2 linked regions of the Sus scrofa genome follow. The protein of the gene in region 2 interacts with the protein of the main gene of each other region in a biochemical or structural test. Links are inferred from orthologs where the notes say so. Each region holds a gene or a part of one and is shown on either strand. Other genes may lie near its edges.

Region 1 (5,972 bases), on a different chromosome or scaffold from region 2:
ATTCACGTAAAACAAGATCATTATACCTCAATAATTAAATAACAAAACAAATCACAAGCAGTCTAACCTGGAGGCTCAAATATTTAATCTTCTTTCCCACAATTTTATCATAAAGCAATGTTTTACCAACGTTTTATCATTACCCATATTAATTCACCTATCAGAGTCCAATTTCTATAACATCAGGAGACACCCATAAAATCAAATTCCTAATTAAAAGGAGCCATGGAAAAGAGGAAAACTGATTTCTAAAAAAGAGATACCACCAGAAAGGTAACCAGAAGACACTACCTAAAATAAAATTCTGCCCTTTATTGGATTTTACTTTAGCTTGCGGAGGTAGGATGGGGGGGGGCATTTGAGTTTGTGTCAGTATTTTTATGACAGATGGCACAACTGTGAATGATCAACCCCTCCTGAAAAAAAAGGCTCTGGTAAAATATGGCAGTAATAATAGAAATCTACAACCTACAAAAGTTGATCAAAAGAAAAACTTTACTAAATATTCATAAGTAATAAAGGATGCCTTGTGGAATATCTATTTGCAATATACGAATAAAAAATCGGAGTTCCCGTCGTGGCGCAGTGGTTAACGAATCCGACTAGGAACCATGAGGTTGCAGGTTCGGTCCCTGCCCTTGCTCAGTGGGTTAATGATCCGGCGTTGCCGTGAGCTGTGGTGTAGGTTGCAGACGCGGCTCGGATCCTGCGTTGCTGTGGCTCTGGTGTAGGCCGGTGGCTACAGCTCCGATTCGTCCCCTAGCCTGGGAACCTCCATATGCCGCAAGAGCGACCCAAGAAATAGCAAAAAAAAAAAAAAAAATCAAATAATAACATTATAAAACCAAGCTCCATACTTAAACTGGGCTTTCTTAGCTATTCTTTTATATTAACCTTATGAAAATTTATACAGTCTAACTCAACATCTCATTTTTTATATACATATACATATATATATATATATATGATGCCATGAGAAACAGAAACATAGACCTCATTAATACATTTCAGATTATAAAGCACAAAGAAAAAAATGGTTTAAATAAGACCCCGCTAAAGTGATCTGCATTGATTGAAAGAAAAAAGCCCCTTTTGTTACAGCAGCACATTACTTCATGACAAATTCTCTATTTTACTAAAGAAAGACCAATACAAAAACTAAATACATCTATCCTGAATCTCTGTGATGTCATGATCACAGTAGTTAACCTATATGGACAGCCCCAGTATAAAGACTATTTTTAGGGGTGGGGTGCAAAGAGGAGGTACGCCAGGCATGGGAGATACAGCAGCTATGAAAGCAACCTTTCTATAGTGCCTTTTAAAAAATACATCCCCTCATACAGCACACATATGTGACCTCTTCCATATCTGATGACAACACCTCCAAGTAATAAAATCTTTCTTTATTCAATAAGCAACAGGATCCAAATCTTGATCCTGTCAATAAATATACTTCAAACAAGAAAAAGCTTGGAGAAAGCCGTCTACAGCAGTAGATATTAAACATGACTACATTTTGTCTGAGGTAAATAATGCAAACATGTCAGAAAAAAATACACTTAAGAAGCTTCCCTTACACTTGGTTAAAAAAATTTTTATTTATTCATTAAAATTTTTTAGATTTATGTATTCATTTCTGGCCATGGTCCGCAGTGCCATGGTGAGGGATCTCAGTTCCCAGACCAGGGACTGAACCTGGGCTGCAGTGGTGAAAGTGCCCAATCCTAATCACTAGACCACCAGGGAACTCCCCTAAAAACCTTTTATATGGAGATATTTAATGACAAAAAAAGGAAAGCCTAATAGAAGATATATACTTTATAGATGACTTCATTAAGAGAAAAATAACATAAGAAGACTGAAAAGGAAATACGAAAAAATGTTAACAGTAACAAAATCTAAGTGGTAAGATTACAGCTAAGATAATTTTTTAAAATTCTATGTACTTCCTGCATTCTACAAGCCTTTTCACCTGAGAGAAGTTGACATTCACTTGTCATATGAGCAAACAACAAAGTTCTTACAAAACCAAAAAGGTTCTAAGCTGCTTCCATAGATCATATTTCTAAACTTCAAATACAGCTGCTAATTATTTGCTAGTGATATGGGTGAAAAAAAAGAAACAAAGTAAAGCCTCAGATTTTCACCTCTGGCTCGCCTATAAGAATTTTCACAACTAAAAACTAATAAAGAAATTTTTACCTAAAAAAAGTTCTATGTTACTAATCTTCTGGGATACAAAGTTGGACAGTCTGATTTTTTAAACCATCAACGTAGATGGCCTTACCCAAAAGCCAACTCAAAGAAGTGATGTTCAGCTCAGTAATTCCAAAATGCAGACACCTAATACAGAGCGCTGGAAGTTCTGATGCATTTTAGTGAAGAGCACCAAGAGAAACACCTTACGTGCAGATGAGCTTATTTTATATACATCTTTCCCTCACTTCTTAAGAGCCTAACATCGAATGAAGCTTTGCACAAAAGGTATTTTGCTTAGCCTGGACGTGGATTTATTTGAATATCCGGAAAGCTGTCAAAATCGATCTCAAACTGCATGACGTTCAAGGCACAGAACGTCAGTTCTGTACTGGGCCTCCTTCTCTCCTTTCTTTCATAAGAGCGCCTTTAACATCTCCTAGCTTACATTTCCGGGCCCATGAGTCACTGAGAAATGAGCTCTAAGTTACCCTTAGAATGCCACTCAAATAGCTCCTCTACGGCATTCAAGGATCTGCCCCCCAACTCTTTGGCCTACCCCCCACTGCCCCCCACGACAAACTGCATTATCTACTATTTCCGACTATGCCTTTTTACCTTTGTCCTCTAGCGTTGCTGCTCCTCCAACACACTGCTCCTCTTCTGCAACCCTCCTCTCTCCCAAATCCCATCTGGCCTTCAAGACCCCACTTTGCACAGCCTCGCCCAGGAAGCCTTCAGATTTCTGCTAGGCGGAAGTGATCGATCGGGCCGGTCTTCTCCGGGTACCCTTCTAGCATTTTGTAGTTCTTTCATAGGACTTATCATCTCCTTCCTGGTATCGTAGTCATTTGTGTACTCGCCTTATCACCCACGCCAGAATGTAAGCTCCTCGGGGGAGGGGACCGCGAGCCGGGGTTCACCTTCGAATCCCTCCGGCGCGGACCGACCAGAGCGCCTGCAGGCAGTCAGCGAGCAGGCTGGTTCAACCGACCTCGGGAACGCTCTGGCCGCACAATTCCTAACCAGAAAACAGTTAGGCATCTTCCCGAAATGCAGACCACAGAGATGCTATCTGCCTCCCGATAACAGGAAGTTTACCAGGGGCCAGGAGCAAGGTGGCCGGATCCCTTGCGCGGCGGGAGTGACAGTTGGCCCGGCCCGCACTCGCCTGCCCTCGGGGCTCCGGCCGCGAACGCCCCCATGCCGCCAGCCCCGCCAAAGAACTGCGGAGGGCTTGCAGGAGAGCGTGGCGCCCCGCAGCCCCGGCTGCAGGCCCCTGGGCGCCGAGCCGGCGAGGACGACGAGGGGGGTAGGCTCCGCGAGGGGCCCGGGCCGGGCGGAGAGGGCAGACCGGGCCGCTCCCGCCGATACCGGGCCGGGGCCGCCTCCACCACCCGAGAAAATGGAGGCAGCCCCGGGCCGGTGACGGGCCGGGCAGGGCAGGCGGAAGCCGGGCGGGCGTCCACGCCGCGAGCTGGGTCGGGCCGGGGGTCACTCACGGAGCTGGGCCGGGCGGCTCCCTCTCAGCCTCCGCGTCGTCGCCGTCCCCGTCCTCGGCCGCCGACGCCTCGGGCTGCTCGCTCGGTCCCCGCGGCGCGGCTCGGCCGCTCGGCCCCTCCGTTGTCTTCCGCCCGCTCCTGCTCCCAGCGACAGGATCCCGCGGCGGCGGCGGCGGCTGCGCGGGCGGACGGCGGCCCAGGGGCTCCCGCGGCGGCCGCCGCACTGCTGCGCTCGCTCGCTCTCTTGGGCTGCGGCTACGGCTCTGCTGCGGGGCCCCGCGCCGCCTTCACCCTCGCTTTCGCCCGGCTCCCGGAGGCTCAGTCTCTCCCAGGCCGCGCCGCTCCCCGCTCCCGGCCCGAGCCCGGCTTTGACGTGCGCACTGCGCAGCCGCCGAGGGCGCGACGTCGGGCGGCGCCGCAACGCCCCCTTCAGCCTCGGGCGCCCCCAGGCGGCTGGGCGGACTCGGGCGTAGGAGTCCGCGCTGAGGCCTGAGGCGGAGGCGGCTGGGGGAAAGCGGAAGCAGAGGGGAAGAGTTCCTCTCCTTTCACCTGCCACTGAAGTGTTGGTGCCCAGCCGCTTCTCTGCCTCAGCGCTCTTGCCAGAGGGATCCTAAATCCACTTTGTGCGACCACTTCCTGAACTCTTAACAAAGCTTCGTTTCGGCTAAAGGCCAGGGACCAAGTTGTGCAGATTGATTCCTTCATACTTGCCAGAGACGGATCACTCTCATTTTAACATCCTCCAAGAGAGCGTAGAAAGTGATAGAATGATCACTCTTAATAGGATTCAAAGCCTGGATTTAAACCTCAACTCCACCATTCAGTCACCATAGGCTATTGCCTGACTCCATTCCTATGTTCTTCCACTCTCTCTCTCTCTCTCACACACACACACACACATGCACAAATATAAGAGTACATACAGTACCATAAGTTTATGAGGATGAACGAGACAATGCATTGCAAAGCTCTGACAACAGACTCTGGTACATGAACATGCCACACGTGTACATTTTTGTTTCTTTAATTTGCAATCGAACAGGTGTTCTTGAGTATCTGCTGTGTGCCAGGCACTCTTCTAGATAGTGGAGCAGTGAACAAAAGAGACCCTGCTCCTGAGACAATAAATAAATAAACAGACATATGTATGACATTAGATGCTTTTCAGTGTTATGGAAATTGGGCTAAGGAGGGGAGAGAGTGCAGGCTATTGCTGTTTACAGCGCTCCTGCTGTGAGATATGTGTATGGAAAGGCAGAGGGAACAGCCAGGACAAAGCCCCTCAGGTGGGATACCTTGCAGCAAAACATGACCCCTGGGAAAGGGGAGTGGATGGAGATGAGGGAAGAGGGGAGACCCTATAGGCTAAAGTGAGGACTTTGGCTTTTACTCTGAATGAGATGGGGAGCTGTTTGGAGGGGTTTGAGCAGAGAAAGGATGTGGTCTAATATTTCAAAAGGATAACTCTGATTGCGGTGTGAAGACCAGCCTGAGCGGCCTGAGGGCTTCAGCCAGGACATCAGTTAGAAGTCTTCTGAAATAATCTGGTGATAAGAAGACTGGCAAGACCCAGGATGAAAGCAGTGGAAGCCTAAAGAAGTGGTCAGGTTCTAGACACATTTAAAAGGTAGAGCTGACCTGATGTTGCTGGTCTCTGAGGGGTTTTTTGGTTTGTTTGTTTTCTCAAGCAACTGGAAGATAAAAATTTGGTGAAATGAAGAAGACTCATACAGAAACAGATACAGGAGTTGCTCAGAAATACACTTGGAGGCATATTAAGCTTAAGCTGCCTGTTAGACACCCAAGTAGGAAGCTCACTGTGGAAGTCTGGGGTTTGGGGGAGAGGTCTGGGCTGGAGATAGAGTTGGGGGAGTCTTCAGAGTAAGTAAGATCTCAGGACTCAATGAGATCATTTAGGGAGAGAGTGTTGATAAAAGACAAGGCAAGGATGAGCCAGGGCCCCCAACATTGAAAAGTCAGGTTGATGACAAGGGACCAGCAAAGGATCCTGAGAGGAGCCAGGGTGGCTGGAGGATCTTTATGTGCTGGAAGACGAGTGATAGAAGATGGATCCATGCCTCCAACAGCAGCTCATAGTTCAAGGAAGGTAAGTACTGGTGATTGGTCATTGGTGTCAGTGCCATAGAGGCAACTAGTGGCCTTGGTAAGAGCTATTTCAGCAGAGGTGAGTGGGAAAGCTTGACCAGAGTAGCCTCTAGGAAGAATGAGGCTGTAGAAAGAGGGACCATGAGTGTAAACAACTTTTCTTGA
Region 2 (5,248 bases):
TGTTAATTTGCATCCCTCCCCCCAAAGACCCAATGTAAGGCAAGTCTTCATGCTTTCTTCCCATCAATAACTCCCATCTATATCATCCAGAGGCCTCTAACTTCTAGGATTCCAACTGATAGACCTGTTTCCACCGGGTTTAGCTATCTCTAGGGAAAATGCATTTTAAAACATACCAATGGCCACTTAAAAGACTTCTCTGATCATTTCTTAATTAGCTCAAAACTAACGGACAGGCATTCAGGGGTATTCGATTCTAACAATGTTTGGCCATCATAATCGCACTATCTAGTCCTAACAAGAGGAGGTGAACATCTGGATATACATACTGCCCCGTTCTGTAGCTTCTTTGGATCAGGCTTCTTTCGCACGGTGGTAAAGCTCCATTCGGGATGAGTATTATTTTCCCTGGTGGTGGATTCCCTAAAGAGATGGCCAAAGATACTTCCATAAGTTCCTAAATGGTATAGGTGGTGAAAATACCAAGTCAATGCTGTCAGATTCTGAATGGAAAACTGTCCCGATGTGTTAAAAAATCATTTGATCTTCAGCTTCAAGTCGACACTACTTTCTACGGGACAGCAGCAGTGGTTCTCAACTCTAAAGTGTGTACCAGAATCACATGTGAAGACCTCTAACTCCATAATATAAAGGCCGGCCCCCACCCCTTCCCACTGACTGGATCAGGATCCCCTGTAGTGTGGCTTAGTGATTTGTTTTTTTTTTTTTTTAAGGCTTCATGGGTGAGTGTCATGGGCAGCTAAGGCAACAGAGAGTAGAACAGGGTACAAAAAACCATCCTCATTTTTTTTTTTTCTTTTTAAGCCATTGCACAGCACATACACTTCCTGGGCCAGGTATCAGATTTGAGCCGTGGGTATTAGCAATGCCGGATGCTTAACCCACTGTGCCAGGTTCCCAATCCCTCTGTGCCACAGTGGGAACCCCTATCCTGATCTTTTTTTTTTTATCCTTTTCAAAAGTTGGGAGATTTCTCATAAATGCAGGTATTATCTAAAAAAAATTGGTGTTACCTCGGTATCAGTTCACCCAGTGGAGGAATAAATGCTGGTGTAGCCGGCAGACTTTTTAGGCTGAATTAAGTAAGTTATGGACTTAGAGGCTAAAATGGTAATGTAAATTGCTGCAGCTAAAAAACAATGCAACATTTTAGGGGATAGAAATCAGATATAAATAAGTATGTACCAATCTGACCATTTTGGTACATGGCCAAGAAAAGTGGGAAAAGTTAGTTCTCCAGAGGGATTTTGCAGGTTGCCTCCAAAGTATGAGAAGACATAGCTCCGTATCACTTTGGGCAAACTAAGAAAACACCTTAAATTGAATCTTGTTCCAAAATTTTGTAATATACTTAAGTATCCACTAGGGGTTAGACCAAGACCATTTAAAACTAAAGCAATTCATTTCTAAGAAAAAAATCTGTTTCCAAATTCATTGTGCTCTACAGGTTGTGATTTTAAAAGATGGCCAGTTTCTAAAGTCAAACTCTAGAGCAGAGTTTATATTTTATGCTTGGGAAAGCATATTGGATTGTAGTTAAAAGATGTTGTAATATTAAAATGTGCTGTCTACATAAAAATTGAATAATTTGCACGTACGAATCAGAGCCTTCAGAATCAGATTCATCATCACTGTGTCCTTCTGCCTTCCATCTCTTAAATCGATCTATCAGCTCGGTCAGATAAGAAGTCTTCTTTGAATTTTTTACGATGAATTTATGTTTCAGAAGTTCTTTAGCTGTAGGACGCTAAGGAACAAAGAGGCAGGATGCGTGAATATTTCTAGGCTCTATGATTGCACGGAGTGATAAGAAATCATTGCAGTTATTAAGCTGAAAGGCATAAAAGCATGTCTGTAGACAGGAAGACAACTAAAATGTCATAGGACACTAGGTAATTCTATTTCTGAAGTGGCTCAAGGCAACCAAATTAAATTCGCTACTTTGCTGCCCACTTGTTACAGCCGAATGGGCAAAAGGTGGCCTACCTACCAGCAAACGGGCAGGCAGGGCTTTCTTAAAAGCAGAGAAACACATGGCAGGATTTCGATAATCAAGTAAAACTTTTAAAGTATTTCCAAATAGTGCTTTAAAATACTTTCGTTACATTTACTGGAAATTGGAAAAAAGGATGAAAACTAGCAAGGCTGTTTCTTTGTTATTATCTGCACACATCCTACGACCCCCAGACTAATCCCTTTCCCATCACACCTTAATTCATGTTGTGTCTAAATAGAAATACCAGGTGCTGTGGGGGATATTTTCCCCTTTAGTATTTTATCAGTACCAGAATATTCATTAGCAATTTAAAATAGTTACTTTGAACTTAGACAGTATTTGTATATTTCTAGATTCTAGAAGTCATCAGGCAGCTTTATTTTAAAAACAGTAAAACAACTGTAATCAAATTTGCCAAGTAAATGAATAGAGCTCATTAGACTTTAGGAAAAGTACACAACTTTATGTTGGCATTTCCAAACATTAAATAAAAAATCGTGAAATGCAAACACCGTTTCATGGAAAACAAACACACAGCTGAATAAAAATCAATGGGAATAATCATACATATACTTTAATAATAACATCCTAGAAAATGAACTTTACTTCTCACATTTCTTTCCCCCTAAGCCAGGAAATAATCAACAGAATAAGGAAGAAGCTGGGTACCACAAAAAAAGAGAAAAAGATACAGGAAAAGGAGAGAAGGAACTATGGATCTTGTCAAGAAGGGAACAGAATTAGCAACATGGAGGGAGGAATCAGGTTTGTGGATGGATCTTAGACAATTTTCACACGTACTGTACTCCTTACCATTGAACCACCTACAGTGGCTCCATGTGGATCTAACCGTAGAAAACCGTAGTAGTAGCATATATACTCACAAATGATGGATCTTTGTTCAGGCAAGCATCAATAAACTCCTTAAAGGATTTAGTAAAGTCTCCGACAAGAGTTGGAGGATTGTTTTTTGGGATAAGAAACAGAACCCTCATTGGATGCATATCAGAGTTCGGTGGCTCTCCCTTGGCTAGTTCAATAGCGGTGATTCCCAGGGACCAAATGTCAGCCTAAGGTAAGGAAGAAAAGACCATTACCCTGAAGTTCCATTCCAACACATTGCCTCAAAAGAGTCTGTGGAAGGAGTTCCCATCGTGGCTCAGCGGTTGGCGCATCCGACTAGGAACCATGAGGTTGTGGGTTCAATCCCTGGCCTTGCCCAGTGGGTTACGGATCCGGTGTTGCTGTGAGCTGAGATGTAGATCGCAGACATGGCTTGGATCTGGCGTTGCTGTGGCTGGGGCGTAGGCCAGCGGCTACAGCTCCGATTCGACCTCTAACCTGGGAACCTCCATAGGCCACGGGTGTGGCCCTAGAAAGACAAAAAGACCAAAAAATAAAAAATAAAAAAAAGAGTCTGTGGAAGCGCACGGTCATACAATAGTAAATGTCTCAAGAAATGTGATGTTACTAAATTTTTATTCATAGAATTCATTTATTAAAAAAAAGTCAAATTCCCTACTTTGTGCTGTTATTGCATTCTAGGCACCGAGGATTCAGGTGGTGGCTAAACAGACAAAAACCCCTGTTCTCAAGGGGCTTATTTATGTTCTAGTAGAAGAGACAGACAAATAAATTAATAATAGGATGTCTGATGGTGCTAAGTTCTGTGAAGAAAATAGTAAGCCAGGATAAGGGAATAATAAATGAGGGGGCAGAGGGGCTGCAGATTTACACAGGATGGCTAGGCAAGACTATTCTGGGTAGGTAATGTTGAAGCAGAGACCCAACTGGTGGGAAGGTTATTCCAGGTGGAGGAAAAGGCAAGTGCAAAGGTCCTGAGGCCAGAGGGTACTTGCCATGTTTATGCAACAGCAATGAGGCCGCTGTGGCTGAAGCAGGTGGAAAATAGAGGGCAGTGAGAGGAGATGAGGCTGGAGAGGCAGGTGAGGGCCAGATTGTACAGGGGCCACGTATGTGATTGTAAGGACCCTGGACTTTATTCCAAGTAGGATGGAAGGCCATTGAAGGGAATAGGGTCCAAATATTACCAGCATCAAGGGAAGTTATGATGTAACAGCAACATCTGACATGAATCTAGCTTTAGAAATACTTTAAAAGGAAGGAGAGTTAGGGTAGTTTGTTAAAGTGGATAGTGCATTATATAAAACTTATCATTAAAAACCAAACAGTTTGGACAGGTAACACTTTACTTTTGAGTCATAAGCTGACTGCTGAATAACTTCAGGAGCCATCCAAAATGGTGTTCCCACAAAGGTGTTTCTTTTAATTTGTGTATCTGTCAGCTGGCCAGCAACTCCAAAATCAGCAAGTTTGACATCTCCTTGTTCTGAGAGCAAGACATTGGCAGCTAGGAGGAAAAAAAGAAACCAAAAGAACCTCAGCTTCCTCAGAATGCATCTATTTTTTTTTCCTCAGGTTCATATTAGGCTTCTGTATACCTTTTATGTCTCGGTGAATTTTCTTTTCTGAATGCAGGTAGTCCAGACCTTTCAAAATTTCTTTTAGCATGGTCGCAATCTGGAACTCATCAAATGGACCAGCTCGCAGCTTAGAGGGAAAAAACACACAGACACATATACATGTCAAAGTTTGGAACAATAAAGTTCAAACTGGATGTGATCTTTGAAAGAAGGGGATTGCTTAGATATATGAGGCAGTTCTCTTTATTAAGTCAATATTTAAACAAATGAGCAAAAATTTTAAGGCGAGGAAGGAGTAGAAAAGTCAAATCAAAAGGCTAAAAGGGTTTTCAATCATTAGATTTAATCTGGAAAGAGTAATGTAAGATTAATATAAGCAGTATTACCTGTATAATCGCTCTAAATTCTGAGGTTCTTAAATATTTACATCAAAGATCTAAGAAATATGCTTAATAATGACTGAATTAGCTTTTTTTTTCAGATAGGAAAAACGAAATCAGCTACTTAAAATTTTGGCATCTGCCATGTACAACGCATTCAATATTTACACTGAACTGATTTTTAGATCGGGCAGCCCATAGGATCTCTGCAGCAACCCAATTTGATCACATGGGTTAGCTGTAGCACAGTTCTTAGCATTGACGAATTTCAAAAACCACTGTAAAGCATGGAGCCTTTTTTGAGACGCAGATTTAAGGTTTAGCTAGGAATATAATAAACTATTCAGACTTGCATTGTAAAAAAAAAATGATCACATCATGGCAGGATCCAGTTTTTCAAATAAATA

Evidence for each region.
Region 1: the proteins of STK26 (region 2) and CAB39 are reported together in a solved structure, tested with the Homo sapiens proteins (2 studies listed by IntAct, with this or other methods). The link is inferred for Sus scrofa from reciprocal best matches to the Homo sapiens genes STK26 and CAB39.

Annotation. Positions count from the first base shown.
Region 1 is NC_010457.5:131,490,683-131,496,654, reverse strand, and holds the start of CAB39 (calcium-binding protein 39), read right to left. Parts: upstream 4,081-5,972; 5' UTR 3,702-4,080; intron 2,936-3,701; exon of another isoform or gene 2,818-2,935; intron 1-2,817. UniProt on the Homo sapiens protein: Component of a complex that binds and activates STK11/LKB1. In the complex, required to stabilize the interaction between CAB39/MO25 (CAB39/MO25alpha or CAB39L/MO25beta) and STK11/LKB1.
Region 2 is NC_010461.5:108,230,323-108,235,570, reverse strand, and holds part of STK26 (serine/threonine-protein kinase 26), read right to left. Parts: intron 4,589-5,248; coding exon 4,480-4,588; intron 4,389-4,479; coding exon 4,231-4,388; intron 3,088-4,230; coding exon 2,902-3,087; intron 1,769-2,901; coding exon 1,620-1,768; intron 424-1,619; coding exon 330-423; intron 1-329. UniProt on the Homo sapiens protein: Serine/threonine-protein kinase that acts as a mediator of cell growth. Modulates apoptosis. In association with STK24 negatively regulates Golgi reorientation in polarized cell migration upon RHO activation.